Alligator mississippiensis: one gene and its partner. The protein of the gene in region 2 interacts with the protein of the main gene of each other region in a pairwise test. Links are inferred from orthologs where the notes say so. Each region holds a gene or a part of one and is shown on either strand. Other genes may lie near its edges.

Region 1 (7,902 bases), on a different chromosome or scaffold from region 2:
TTGGCTTTCTCATCCTGCAAGGGGATATTCACACTAAACCATAAAAATGTTTACATTTATGAAAACATATGTTTCTCTTGCAAAAAGGTAACACTTAATTTAAAAAATCAGAACAAAATCTATATTTAGCTATTGCATGATTTACTTAAATCCAAGCAGCTGAAGGAAGGAAACAAATGTTAATGACTGGTATAACTGGCAGGAGCCCACAGTAGTGCTGTTATTCTGGTTCTTGCAGATCACAGGCGTTCATTCCAGCTAGTTATTTCCACAATAATCTTTGGCCCACCCTTGTTTGAGCTATGTAGGTTAAGACAGCCAGAATCTTAAAATATGTTGGATGTCCCTGCCTACTCTCTCCCATACATTTGGCATCTTTTTTTCTTCCCCTGCCTACTTGCACAGGAGATATTAATAGTTGGGTGAAGCATGGAATTTTTCCAATGTTCTTTCTAATCTGTAATAATAAAATCCTTACACTTGAGCACATATTATATATATGTGTGTGTGTGCGCGCGCTCAAATGTAAGGATTTTATTATTTTTATTTTAGTAAGTAATTATTGTTGTATTTCTCATATATGAGAAATGTTAATGTTGTATTTCTCATATTATATATAATATGAGAAATACAACAATACTAAAATTTTAATCTCTTCTCCTTAAACAATGTAGTAGGCACAATGGCAAAGCACTATTACACCTCCTTATTAAGCTTGAGATGTTTTATCACACAAGATTTGCTGACTAAAATCTATACTTTATGAATTGCTGAACAAAATCCAAATGACTGGATTCATGCTAATGCCTGACAAAGGGATATTAGTTATCTAACCTTGATAAAAAGAAAAAAATACAGTAATAATGCAAAAACCACAGACTCCCCCAATCCTATATTTCACATTTATCATACCCCTCTAAGCTTAAAGGGCTACAAAACAAAGAGATGTTGCATTAAAGGAACTGTTACCAGGCTGGTAATATGAAACGAGCATGGTAGAAATTCCTAACAACTAAACAAGGTTGTTTTTCAGAAAGGAAATTTAACTTAGCTGCAAACTAATCTTGAGAAAAAACTTCCATATTAAAATTACTGGCAAACAAAATACATTATTCTGCCTTTATTTAAGTCTTTGAATTACTGTTATTGATGATCAGAGTAATTTAAGCAATGCTTCCCACACTAATACAAAATTTGGGGCAGGCTTACTTAAATCTGGGAAGTTTTATCCATGTAAACAGAGTGCAATGTGCTCTACAACAGATGCTTGGACACTTGTGTGCCTTTATTCAGGGTCAAATATTTGGCCTTTACCCTCCTTTGGCAAATCTCTCACTGAGATGATGGGAATTTTATTTTTAGAAATATCATAATATTTAGTCCTTGTATTAAAGAAAATCTAGATTGGAAAGCTATCTTTCCTGTAGAACTTTTCAAATGACTTGGATTAAATTCTGCCAACCTACTCATATTGAGTAGTCTTTTTCCCTGTGGGAACAGATGTTAATTGCAGTATGCCGATATGGAAAATTAGGTTCTATTGATGGTTGGGAAGAGTGGAATAATTTGGTTTGTCAACTTTATGGCTTATTTTGTTTGGTTGCTTTTCTATATATGCAAACTTCTAAAATGCTGTTTCCTTGATGCATATGTCCTATTCTTCATTATAAGAACAGCTAATAAGTTTGTAAGTTTGGTTTACTATCGCTTACATAGTAACCCTTATTATCACCATAATTATTGTTTATATGATCATAAGAGCTAGGATTGTTAATCATGGATATGGTCCCCATTGTGGCAAGTGCTTGCCAAAAAAGAACTAAAAGACAGCCCCCACCCTAAGAAGCTCACAGCCTAAGAATAAAACATGAGGCAACAGGTGAATAGACTGACAAGCACAAGGAGACAATACCAGTCAACATCATGCACAGTAGTCTCAGCAGATTTACAGCTTAACTGTAGTCAAGTTTTCTGTAGGCCTTGTGGCAAAAGGAAGTTTTGAGGAGAGAATAAAGGAGAGTAATGAAGCACTTCTGAGAACTTCTGAGATGCTTAGAGGGAGCTTCTCTGAAGCATGAAGGGTAGCATGGGAGAAGCATGAAAGTGCTTATTTGAAAACCTAACAAGGAGGCTATAGAGGCAAGTGTCATGGACTGGCATCGGAGGCAGGAGTCAACCTCTGGAAACTGAATGAGAGACGATGGAGAGGCAGGGTGTGTCATAGAAGGCCTTGAAAATTATGAGTAGGTTATGCCTAATGTGATAGAGAAGTATAAGCCAAGGGAAGCCGGTAAAGGAAGAGGTGACATGGTGCAAAGTGGTAGGCTAGGAAAATTATTTTTGCAGCAACAAAATGGATGGATATGGGAAAGTTTGCATTGTCAAAGCCAGAAAATGGGATGTTGCAGTCCATTGAAATGATTGGTGAGACAAAGAGAGCTTGGACATGAGTTTTAATTGTGTGGATGAATAATGAAAGATTAGAGCTTAGCTGTAGCCTGTGTGTGAGGACCCAGAGTGAAATCTGAGTTGGAAATGATGCCCTGATTAAAAAGCCTGAGTGACAGGCAAGATAGCGATATTGCCCACACTGATCAAGTAAGGAGTTTGTGGGCACCTATCCTTCTGGGGGGGGTGTGAAGAGTAAAAGTCATGTTTCAGCCGTGTTCAACTTGAACGAAAGGTTAGGCATCTACAAGGATGGATGGCCTGTCTACATTGTCATTGTGATACTTTTCAGACTGCTTCCAAAAAGGTGGCCTGTCTACCTATTCTCATTCTGCATGCTGCAAACTTGCCCCTGAGGCAGTGAGGACTCTTTATCTCTCACTGCCATTCTCCATGTCTCTCTGGCTCAAGAGCCATGGTGGGTGGTCCCCCAGAGCACCCTGACAGCCTGTGTTCTGGTGCTACCAAGTGGAACCACATTGGAGGAACTTTTATTTCAGCAGCAGCAGCCTGGAGAAGAGAGAGAGGCAGTGTAGACATACTCTGACATTTTACTTTGAGCAGAGGCATCAGAACGTTCATGAAACAGAAGGTCTACAAAGCCATCATTCCCCCGAACCTCCTTTATGCCTGCAAAACCTGGACCATCTACCAGTCATGTCAAGAAACTAAACCACTTCCACTTCTGCTGCCTGTAAAAGATACTAAAGATCAAGTGGAAGGACAAGATTCTGGACACTAAGGTGCTCAGAAGATCAGCTCTCCCCAATATCCACACGCTACTGAAACTGGCACAGCTAAGATGGGCCGGCCACCTTTCAAGAATGACCGACACTCGCCTGCTGAAGAAAATCTTCTATGGTGAACTGTCAAATGGAGTACACTTTTGCAGTGCACCAAAGAAGGTGTCCTTGAAGAGTTTCAGCATCGACCTGGAGTTGTGGGTTCAAATCACTTGCGACTGTCTATCCTGGAGGTCATTGGTCCAGAGCGGCGCATGGCGGAGGCAGTGAGGAAACGTGTGGCCAGGAAATCGAGGACCTCTTGTGTCCAGTCCTTGTCGCTGTCCTGCCCCTGCTGCAGCAAATCGTTCAGGGCAATGATTGGGCTTATATGTCACCTGCATACTCACGCAACCTATCCTCCTCTCTCTTTCCTCTCTTCTTTCTCCTTTTTCCTCATCTTCGCTTGCGAAGGATGAACAACAGAAGACAGGTCTAGAATAGAGGGTGAGATCTGTGAGTTGCCTGCAAAGCTATGGGAGTCAAATTTGTGTTTATGGTTGAAGTCACCCTGAGATAAGATGAAGAGAGAAAGAGAAAGGGACCAAAGGCAGTGCCTTTTAAAACTGCCACATAAGGTTGGAGGGGGAGATGTGGGGATCCTCCAAAGGACATGATGGAGAGAGGGAGGAAAAGAAGCAGTAGATGAGTCATGCAAACTAAGGGAGGACAAGATGTCAACAGGAAAAAGCCCAATTGATGGTATGGAAGGAGGACGAGACTGGAGTGTTGTTCTGAGATGTGGCCAGGAAGAACTCATTCCAAACTGGCAAAACCCGTTTCATCTGAGTGTACAGGTTGAAACTAGGATGGAGTGGGTCTAGGATGGAGCTGGAGGAAAAACTAAGGACAAGGTGTGAAAACAGCACGTACAAAGAGCTGAGAGATGAATAACATGAAGGAGATGGAACTGTAGTGGCGGGGACTGACTGGAGTCAAGGGCGACAGGTGAAAGCTGCTTTGTTGTGGCAGGGAGAGGAAAATAAAGAGGTTAAGGAGAAGAGTGAGGGAGAGGGTATAATAAGATTTGGGGGCATGGGATAGGGTTACTAGGTCTCATGGAAAAGAGGCAAGAGGAGGAAAGTGTCTCTTTGACAGGGGGTAGAGGAGGATAGAGAAGGAGGAAAGGCTGTATTGCATGTGAGTTGTCTCTTGAAAGGCCCCTGGGCAGAGAGACAAGTGGAGATGGGAGGAGATGGTTAGAGAAATTAGTCAAAAAGGCACCCGGGATTGAACTGCGGAGCCTGGAGGCGCATTTAGCTAGGAAGACGGCACAACTCACGAGTCACAAGCCACTCAGAGCAGCAGGAGAGCAGGGCCGAAGGGAGAGGAGGGGCAGGCAGGGGGGGTCTCGCCAGGGGTTGGTTACATGGGCAAAGCGGCCCGAGTAGAGCAGAGGCGCCGCAGCAGGGGACATGAGCGGCCCCTAAAAATCAGCGGCACTAGGGGAGGGGGGTGTCACAGAAAGGCTGGTGGGGGGGAGCTGGTGTGAGAGGCCGGGCCCAGGCTCTGCCAGATCCATGCCCGTGCACCTGCGCCCGAACCGAGCCGAGCCGAGCCAAGCCGCCACCCGCGCGCGGGCTAGAGGCTGCACGGGGCGGGCCCGCCGCCGTCCCCGCCCCTCAATCAGTGCCGCTGCTGCGTGCGGGTTGCGCGGGGGCAGGCGGCTGCGGGCTGCGCCGCGCCCTCCTCCCGCCTCTGGCCGCGCCGAGCTGCTGCTGCATCTGCATCGCCCCCGCCTGCCGCCGCCGCCAAGCAGCGCAGCCCCAGCGAGGCGAGGTAGGGGTGCGCGGGGACCCGCCTGCACGAGGCCCCGGGAGGGAGGGAGGCGCGGGGGGCTCGTGCAATGGACGCTGGGTTTGCAGTGTCTTGCTCCGTCATGGTGCTGGCGCGGGGGGTGTCCCCCGGGCCTGGGGGTGGCAGCGGGGGCGCCGCAGCCGGCGGTGCAGGGATGCAAACAGGCGTGGCCGGGCCCGGCTCTGCCCGTTGCGGGCAGTGTGCGGGGGGGGATGGTGTGTGTGTGTGTGTGTTCCGCCCGGCACCGCAACAGGTTTGTGCATCCAGCCCGGGCCGGGGGGCCTCTGCGCGCTGCAAGCCGCACTTGGGGTGGGGGTCCCCAAGGCGGGGCATGAGGAGAAGGGAGCTGGGGGTATGGGGGATACTGGGGTGTGTGTGTGTGTTGGGGTGGGGTGCATGGGGGTTACTGGGGATGTTGTGTCTGAGGGGTGGGTTTTATTGTGTGTGTGTGTGTGTGTGTTAGGTGGGGGCTGTGGTAGTTATTGGGGGTGGAGGTTGCCTGAGGCTTGGGGGGCTATTGAAGTATGTGTGTGTGTATGTAATTGCTGGGGCATGGGGGGAAGGCATGGGGGTTATTGGGGAGGCTTATTCAAAAGTGTGTGTGTGTCGGGGTGGGGGGTGTGTGGGGAGGTAAGTGAGTTACGGGGGGGTTAGTGTGTGTGTTGGGGTGGGGGGGTGTATGGGGAGGTATGGGGGCTACTGGGGGGGGGTGTCTGTGCCTGTCTGAGGTGTGGGGTTTATTGAAGTGTGTGTGTGTGTCCCCTGGCGGAGCTGGGGTGCTCCTGTGCGACACACCGCTCCTTCCATGATGTCTGGGCGAAGCGATGCAGCACAATGCAGTGCTCTGACCCCCTTCATGCCGTGCTCTCCGGCTACATCTCACAGGAATCCTGATCTCCCTTGTGCACTAAGCAAAAAACCCCACCCAACTGGCTGGGTTGCTTGGGGTCTGGGTTTTTAATGCCCTCTTCCCATAATTTTTTTTTCCTGTCATCATTCTCAGCTTTTAGGGGGCATCTTTTTTCTTTGGAGGTTGTTCCGGGGGGGGGGGGGGCTGTGTGTGAGGAAGAGGCAGATGGCAGTTTTGCATCAAGATGTTGGGTGGGTTTGCTGGCTTTCTGTTTTCTGGGTTTTTTTTAATTTGCTTGCTGCTAATCTGTAATGGGGGGGGGCGGTGGGGAGCTGTATGATTGCAGTTCTGCAGCTCTAATGCAGTCAGATGGAGTCCAGCCTGCGGCTGTGGAGCATTAATCTGATACTACAAAAGTAGCAGCATTAGGGAGGGGTTGCAGGAAGAGTGTTATTGTAAAGGAGAGGAAGGAGTGCACCTTTAGACTGACTGGGGCAAATGTGTGCAGATGCTGCATGCACCACTGAAACCCAGACTTGTGCATCAGCTGGGTTCGTTCAGGCTGGCGGGTGTTACGTGCCCTTTCCCATTGTGAAGGAGAAGGTATTGGTTTTTTCCTCCTGCCTTTAAGGTACAGTAAACCTCAGCAGTCTTTATACCCATTTTCCAATAACAGTAACTGATTTGGGAGTGGAGATTTTCTGCTTTTTTGCTTTCAGAAGCACTTTATTAAGTCTACTGTTATTGGGTTCCCCCCAGTTAAATGTGTCATTGTCTTTCAGATGTATTACCGAATGCAGTTTCCTATATTTAGATGTGAAACATTGGTTGTTTGAAGAATTACATCCCTGCCTTTTATTTTTTAAATGAATACCATGTTAAATTCCAAAATAATAATCATCGGAGGTGTTGGTTGATTTTTTTATTTTATTTTTTTTATTTTTTGTTTAATGGATGGAAAGTGTTTATGGCTGTGAAATGATGATACTGAATATTCAATTGAACGGACATCATAAATGGACTTGGTTTCATTATCTTTTCCACAGAGATGTTGTAGTTAGATGTGGGTAGGCCTGCTTTAATACCAAAAAAAATGGCAGCCTTATACCCGATATTGCAAGACTGCAGTATCTCTGACAAATCCATCTTCCATAGCACTGAAGCCTGACTTCTTTAGTTAAGACAACCTGCTGTTTGTCAGAAATCTTTGATTTTTTTTTTTAAATGCATAAAATATTAATCTGTTGGATGCCTGCCATGCATGCAAAAGCAGAATCAGCAATTGAATATAGTGTGAATACCATTTCAGTCTGCTAGTTGCGAGGAAATTTGCACATGTACAGTGAAGAGGGAGGGAAGAGGTCTTTCTTTATAGATAATGTCTACACAAAATCAAAACTATTGTCCATAAAAATATGTTTTTAATTATCAGTATTCAAAGAATATCCTTTAATTTAAAATAATTCTAAATAGTCTACATTTATAAAATTGTTTGAAGCATTAAATGCAACATTTATGATCTGTTAGGACTGGGGATGTTGAAAAGTCTTTTTACCTAGCTAGGTGATTATTTTTCAAAATTATTTTTGACCTTTAGATGTATTCATTCATAAGGGCGTCTTGGGGGATAGTATTTCCATAGCTTTAAAGATTAAGGCAGTTTGCATTCATTACCTTATTTAAAGAAAGATCAATGTAGAAGTGTTGCAAGGAATTTTGACTCATCAGGCAGGTGCAAAAACCTGATTGGAAGAAGATTTTTCATGTATCACGAAGGTTCAGATACAAGCTTACGATGGTATTATTGATCAGGAGAAATAGGTGATGAAGGAGTTAGTTACTGTTACTAAACTCTATTCTGCTGTTTAACAACCTCATCAGCCAGCTTTTCTGGATAAAATATGTAAAAAATGGTTATCGAGATGCTGATATAACATGGCAACAACAGTTGATGGTACTTAGCTGGCTGGTAATGTGTCACAACCAGTATTGGGAAGACGCTAAATAAAATTGATAGAACCAAGT
Region 2 (7,048 bases):
ATTCTCCCTCTTAGGGCTTTGTCTCTATCTAGGAAGTGTTTACCATTTTCAGTGTAGAAGAGACATGAAAGCCCAAGTGAGCCAACGCTGACCCGCAGGTGTAAAGAGCACAAAGTTAGACTACAGCTGCCTGGGGTTACCGCAAGTCAGTGCGGCAGCCCACCCAAAGCCCTGCTGACCTTGAAGCATTACAGAAGGTCAAGTGATTACAAAGATCGACAGCTCTTGAACAATTTATCTGATGTACTAGATGCAAATGGGGCTCTCTCCAATATGATCTGTCACTGTTTTGGGAGCTCTGAACAAATTCCCTTCAGTTTAGTACACGAAGATACACAAAGCGTGTTTTGTATTCTCCACGGTCCTCCTGCCCCCACCACTGAATACTGACACCATAAAATGGACACAACATCTAGCGTCTGTTGAGGTATATCTACCAGCAAAGAAGGCCACTTGATCCCATGGTTGATCCAGTTCATAAGACTACTTTTAGGGGCATGGGGCACAGCTAGGACAAGCTCCCTGGATAACATGTGGAATCTCCTTCATGGGAGACTTAAAAAAAAAAAAAAAAGAGGCTGGAAAGGCATTGGTCCTGGATGGTTTAGGAATAAACACATCCTGCATTAAATGACCACCAAGATCTTTCCAAGCCTAGGGTTCCACGATAAAGAAGCACATGGGGGAATCATAACAAATGCAGTTACAGTCGAGGATTTCTAATTTGTATTTGCACTGACAGACAATTCAGACTTGCTTTGGGTATAGTCCATGGAGAAAAAATAAATAATAATAAAAAGCTCCATCTGCATGAACACAGATACCTTAAAAACAAAAAGCAGGGATGTTATTTTAAGACTGGTTGTTACGGGCATTAAGAAAATTCAACTGCTGCTGTTCCCAAAACAAAATCCAACATGTAGGGGCTGATGCTCCAAGATGTTTGCTTTATAGGGCTATTAATTCCATTGACTGACATTTCTCCTGAGATACTGAGGCAGGGGAGGTGAACTAGAATTGAATGTTTGTTTTTAAACATGAAGGACCTCCATATTCCTCATCCTGTCCACACCTGCAACTGTGGAGCAATTGTTTACACCAGTGGTTTTCAACCTCTCTTCATGTGCAGATCCCTAAAAATTTCTGAATAGAGGTGCAGACCCCCTTGAATGGTAAGTCTATGTATTCATATACTTTTTGATTGTCTAAGGGGTCTGCAAAAGATGACTGTGACCATAGTCTGCAGACCCCCCGGGGGTCTAGGTTGAAAACCACTGGTTTACACTATTAATGAGCCAGGAACTAAGCAGAAAGAAAAGTAGGGCATGTGAATAAGACGGGCATCTTTTTGGGTTTGCCTTGAAGCAAACATTATTTGTAAAAAAACAAAACAAAACAAAAAAACCCCAACAAACAAAACAAAACAAAACAAAACCACACAACAGTCTTGGAAGTCTTCAGTGGGCATCACTTGATTTTATTTTTCTTAAACACCTGTACCAGCAAGGTGTACGCAGTCTTGCTGTAATAAAGGAAGGCTCCTTCAGACAACGTTTCAGCAGCCACGTCCAGATTAAACACTACTCCCCTAAAGGACTCCAGTAGTGGATAGCCGAAACCAGCAATAGATGAAAAAGGTGGGGGGGAGGGAATTATAGAAACAGGGGGAGAAAGAGACACATCACAATACAAAAACACTGGCTGCCATCTTTGATGTACCATATACATTTCTGGTTTATTGTAAATACAAATAAGAGTCTTACTTAGAAGAAGCGTGGGAGAAAAGAGCAAGGCTGGCTGATGACAGCAAATGAAGAGGCAAGAAAACAAAATACTCCGGGGCTCAGCATCAGTGTGCAACAATGTGCTCCACAGGGTGTGAACCAACCCACATCAGTGTTCCTAGATTCAGTACATGTGTAGTGTGTAGTCACACACACGTGCATCGCTATTAAGCATATATGCTTAAACCAAGCCTGAGGAGGCAGGGTGATGCCTGATGAAAAGGGCAAGGAGGCATATGCCCATTCCCTGGAAAGGACTGAAGATGGTGGTGATTGGGGGGCGGCAGAAATGGGGGCAAACATCCCCAGCTTGCAATGTCCAAATTTCACAGCAAAAAAATAAAAATCACATCAAGATGGACTCAACCCCTCTGGCCCCACGGCGGCCAAGGCAGTCGGCAGGGAAGCGCAAGCAGACCGGCGGGGGAGCTGCTACTGTAAAGAGACGCTGCATCCGAGGACAAAAAGAGCCACATCCTCTCTGCGCTACGGGTTTTTGTTTTCAACGCAGGGCTCCCTCAGGTAGAGGGGGAAAAAACAAACAAAAGACAAACCCACTTGCATTGGAAGGGCAAAGAGGGCGCTCTCCAGATGCCCCTGAGCTAGGGCGGGGGGAACAAAAAAAAAAACCGACAAAAAGACAGCTCAGCCTGAGCCTGTGCAAAGGCAACTGAAGAGCAGGCACCCAAGGGGGATGGATGCGCGGAGCACAGCGCTGCATCGACGAAAGGAGCACGGCAGCCACCGCTGCTCCAAGGGGGCACCTCTATGCCACAGCCATGCCGCACCCGGGCTGCAGCAGCCATGGGGCTGGGGGGCCTCGCGCTTCCCCCTGAAGACCCAGGCGCACCCCCCGGAGACCGTCCTGCTGAAGACACCCCCCGCCACTGCACCCCGGGGACATCGCAGCCCCGTCTCCTTCCCCTCCTGCGGGAGCATCAGTCCTGTGCACACCGCCCCCCACGCGCACACACCCATCACTACTTGTCTTACACACACCGTTCACCTCACACCATCATCCACCTCACCCCCCACCCCAGGAAGGCAGAGGACCCGCGGGCCGGGGGCGAGCACTCACCCGCAGGGCGGAGAGATCGATCTCGTCCAGGCTGCGAGCCGGGGAGTCGCTCGCCATGTTGCCTCAGCTCGCCGGGCGCCGCGGGACCTCCGCCGCCGCTGCCGCCGCCTCCTCTCCACGGCCGCCCGCCCGCACACGCGCACGCGCCGCCGCCGCTCCGGAGTGGGGGGGTGGAGGGGGCGGTGCTAAACAGGAGGGGGCGGGGCCTCCCTGCCCGGCCCCGGGAACAAGTGCAGCGCGCCCCGCCCCCTTCTCCCCTCCCCCCGCGGAGAAGCGAGGCTTGACTTGCCCCTGCCCTGCCGGGCTGCGGGCGCGGGCGCTGGCACTAGGGGCATGAGGACGCAGAGCGGGGCCGGCCGTCGGTCTCCGGCCAGGCTGGGGAATTAGGGGGTGGGAAGTCCAACCAGGAGTTGATCCTCTAAGAGCTACATCTAGGATTGCCCTGGCTCGGCACGGTCTTGCAATCTGGATTTGGGCTGCTTTGGTAGAGGAGCAGCGCACACAGGTGTTGGGTTTGGGAAGAAGCATCCCTCCGTTTCCAGGGGACCCGGTTTTCTCTTTGTCCTCATTTGTTATTCCTTATTCAGGAGCGGTCTCTCAAGCACCGGGTCTGGTCTTCCTGATACCATTTCTCGCTTCAGGGGGAGCACAGTGGGGTCCGTTATCCGATCTCGCAGGTGTGTGACGGGATCTCGCAACACGCAGAGTGGAGAAGTAGAAACATAACCCTAACACACTTGTCTCCTGCAGAGAGAGGCAGGATTTTTTTGTATGCATGGATTGAGATGCTCTTTTTTTTTAATTGCAAATAATCCTACAGTCGATAGGGCCACTTGACTGCTGCAACTTTTTCATAAAAAGCTGGTAGTCTGAGACACAGCACATTTATTATCTGAGCAATTTGGTAGAAGCAGGCTGCAGAAGAGACTGGCCTTGCAAAACAGAGTCAAGCTGCTGACATTTCCTCATCAGCAACAGGCTGTCTTAAACCAGTTGCAGAACTAGAGGGAGTTCATTGCCCAACTCTGCCGTATGCCCTGTGTTCAAAGTACCATGGCTATCTGCACATGCTAACTAAGCCTGCCAGGAGGTAGGTTCAAAGATCTGGAGCTGAACCTTATTATTAAGAGTGCTGATCACCGAGTTCCTGATACATGGTGAGAAATGGAGCAACAGCACCATTATACAATAGTGGAAGTTGCAGCATTGCCCCATACAAAATTCCACGTACAAGGCAGAAGGTATTTTTTCCAGGTGACTAAGTATTGCAGGTAAATGAAACATGCAGAAGTGGATGGAAAGCATGAGGTGATGCAGGGTGACAAACACATCACTGTCTTCAGTATAACAAATCCAGAGGCATTAATATGTGGTAGAGCAATTAAAACTTCCTGACATTCGAAAGATTATATTTGCCCGAAATCTTGAATTTTACATTCTACAGTCTTGAATAAACACTTAAATACAAGCAAGGAGCAAGCAAATTATTTCCAAGTCTCTCTCTCATTTTTTTTTTAACAATGGACTGGAACGCTTTGATGTACAAATGTTGTCTGCAGCGGTTGCAACCCAGACATTGCAATATTGTGATAATACATATAGACCTGAAAGCAAAAGTAGCTAGAAGCTAGTGACAAAGAAATGTGACTGCGGCAGTGCTGCTATAATTTTTTCAAGGGGGTGGGGAATGAAAAAGAATAAGCTGAGCAGAAAGTGAGAATGTGTTTTTCTAATAGCTTTTCCATTTAAAAGGCAAGGAAGGTGTCATTTGTAAAAACAGGTGTGGAAATGAGAGATTTCTTTCTTTTAAAATGATAGGCCCCAGTCTTACAAATGGACAGATTATCATGGATCTCTACATCCATATGAAGTGCCCAGGATAGGAGTTACTTCATTTGGGGCCTTTAATTAGTCCTTGAAGACAGTATATATATCTATATATAGATATATATATATATCTATATATCTATATATAGATATATATATCAGTAATGTCATAAATATAGTACATTATAGTAGGTTATAGGGGCAATGGAGTAAAAAATTCCAATTGCTTCAAAGTACTTCAGTATGCAAAAATGGCAGTTCCTGGTCCAGTAAACGTGTGTCAATAAGGCTGATTTACAAAAATTACTTCACCATTAGTGTATGGGTAAGGATATGTGACTATGTTATAATCTTCAAATTTCTGGGTGTTGTCTCTATGCTGCACAGACCTTCCTGGTAGAAATGGAAGCATAAACTAGTCAGGATAGTAAGGAATGATATTTTCAATGGAAAAGGAAGTTTCTACAAAATTTCATTTTTTCAAGGGAGAATTTTGATTTTACCATTTTGGGTTTTTATTATTATTATTTTCTGTCCATAAAAATCTACTCACAAAAATTAATTTAAAGTCAGGCTGATCTGAACTGGAGAATTTTAGTTCAGTAACTGGACCTAAGATGGGTCAGTGCAACATTAAACTACACTTTCCCTTTATGGTGTATTTCTTCAAATTTAGGGCCCCTGTTCAGTCCTATTGCTTAGCCACAGAAGGATTACATCTCTGATGACACTGAGTGGACTCCCCTTTGGCTGTGTGATGCACCATAGTGGACATGTGACTGTGTTGTCCAGTGCTCCTCTTTCCCCACATACTTGGTTCACCTGTTTCTATGTCCATTAGCTCACAATTACAGCTGGTGTAAAGTGGCATTTTGCTACTGATTTCCAGCTGATTTACTCCAGCTGAGGCTAGGGACCAGTGCTTTTACATGGATACAGCAGTTAAAAGGCACTGCCTAAACACACTAAAGTGTGTTTAAATATTAATACTCTATTAAATGCATAATAATTGGATTTCAAGCTAACATGATTACTGCTGCAGCTGTGTTAGAAGATACTCAGAAATTAATGGCTACTTGTGTCCAACCCGCATCTATTGATCTTCGCAAATGCATTTTAATTGATTCATCATCACTTTTGGATTGCTATCCCCTCTTACGCCAATGTGAGCTTTCACTGGAGATTTGCAAAGTAGCTGGAGGACAATCTGGGTGCTTTACTCTCACATATAGATCCTCTTGTCAATGTGTTGTTGTTTACCGTTTCTAATTTTTGCAAAACTATGGTATCCAAACCAATACTGAGAGGCTGCAGTGCAGGATTTCTGCATGAGCCTTATTTGCTTATCACATGAGTTCCTCCATGCCATGTTCAAAGCTAACTATGCATTATTACCAAACCTAGCCCCAATGATTATAAAGAAAAATGTTTGAATGTTCCCTGATACCCTTTATTACTGAGTCCGCATGCAGCCCGAAGCAAAAACTGTGGGTGTTACCTTGCTGGGAGGATGACCTTGAAGTCTCTGGCTAGAACAACTCTCATTCCCAGCAGTAGTGCCAAAACTTGTCTAAGGGGTCTCCAACAGGGAGCAAGAAGTTAAAACGGGCTTTTTGTAGCCATCTAGACAAGTCTCTTCACAACCAGATAGATGCCATTAACCACAACCTGCCTCTAACAGACAAGATCCAAGTTTTGTTATATGTACCTCTGTCAAAAGTAATTCCATTATTTCTCTCATCTGCTTGATGGAAGCACCTAAGTGCTTGCTAGGCCATATATCGATGAGGTAACTCCATTTGAAGCCCTGTGTATCACCGAAAGGTTTCATGTTTTCATAAAGAATTATTGTATTTGGTCAAGCCCAAAATGAGGTTTTATCCCCCATTTTACATGGGGAAAAAAGGTCTCAAGTTGGATTCAAGTCTGTGCCAGTTTGGGGGCAGGCAGCTGCTGTGCGTCTGACTCCAGCCCAACAGCTACCACCTGTCACCCACCAGCTTTACTCCCCCACCTCCTCTACTTGCCTACCTACCCCAATTCCACTGCATACCCTTGCTCTGCTCCAGCAGATTCTGGCCCCATTCCAGCCTGGCACAAGAAGCTCAGCCCCAGTCTAGTCCAGTTAGCAGCTCCAGCTGGAGCTGGGTCCAGAGTTACCACACTACCACCATTGCTACCAGGTGTGAATAGAGCTGTGCTCCATGCACCAGGTCTCCTGGAGCGAAGCAAGGATAAGCAGCTGAGGAGAAGTGGATTGGGGGGGTGGGGGTAGAGGTTGCAGGGGGAGAGAGCAGGGAAAGAGGGGTAGGGGGTCCAAGGCTGTAGAAGGGGGCAGGTATGGGCACAGAGGCTGTGG

The links. The genes of interacting proteins can lie anywhere in the genome.
Region 1: the proteins of TNIK (region 2) and SPTBN1 interact in a two-hybrid assay, tested with the Homo sapiens proteins (2 studies listed by BioGRID and IntAct). The link is inferred for Alligator mississippiensis from reciprocal best matches to the Homo sapiens genes TNIK and SPTBN1.

The regions. Positions count from the first base shown.
Region 1 is NC_081824.1:206,540,262-206,548,163, forward strand, and holds the start of SPTBN1 (spectrin beta chain, non-erythrocytic 1), read left to right. Parts: upstream 1-4,901; 5' UTR 4,902-5,009; intron 5,010-7,902. UniProt on the Homo sapiens protein: Fodrin, which seems to be involved in secretion, interacts with calmodulin in a calcium-dependent manner and is thus candidate for the calcium-dependent movement of the cytoskeleton at the membrane.
Region 2 is NC_081830.1:75,557,393-75,564,440, forward strand, and holds the start of TNIK (TRAF2 and NCK-interacting protein kinase), read right to left. Parts: upstream 3,008-7,048; 5' UTR 2,920-3,007; coding exon 2,863-2,919; intron 1-2,862. UniProt on the Homo sapiens protein: Serine/threonine kinase that acts as an essential activator of the Wnt signaling pathway. Recruited to promoters of Wnt target genes and required to activate their expression. May act by phosphorylating TCF4/TCF7L2.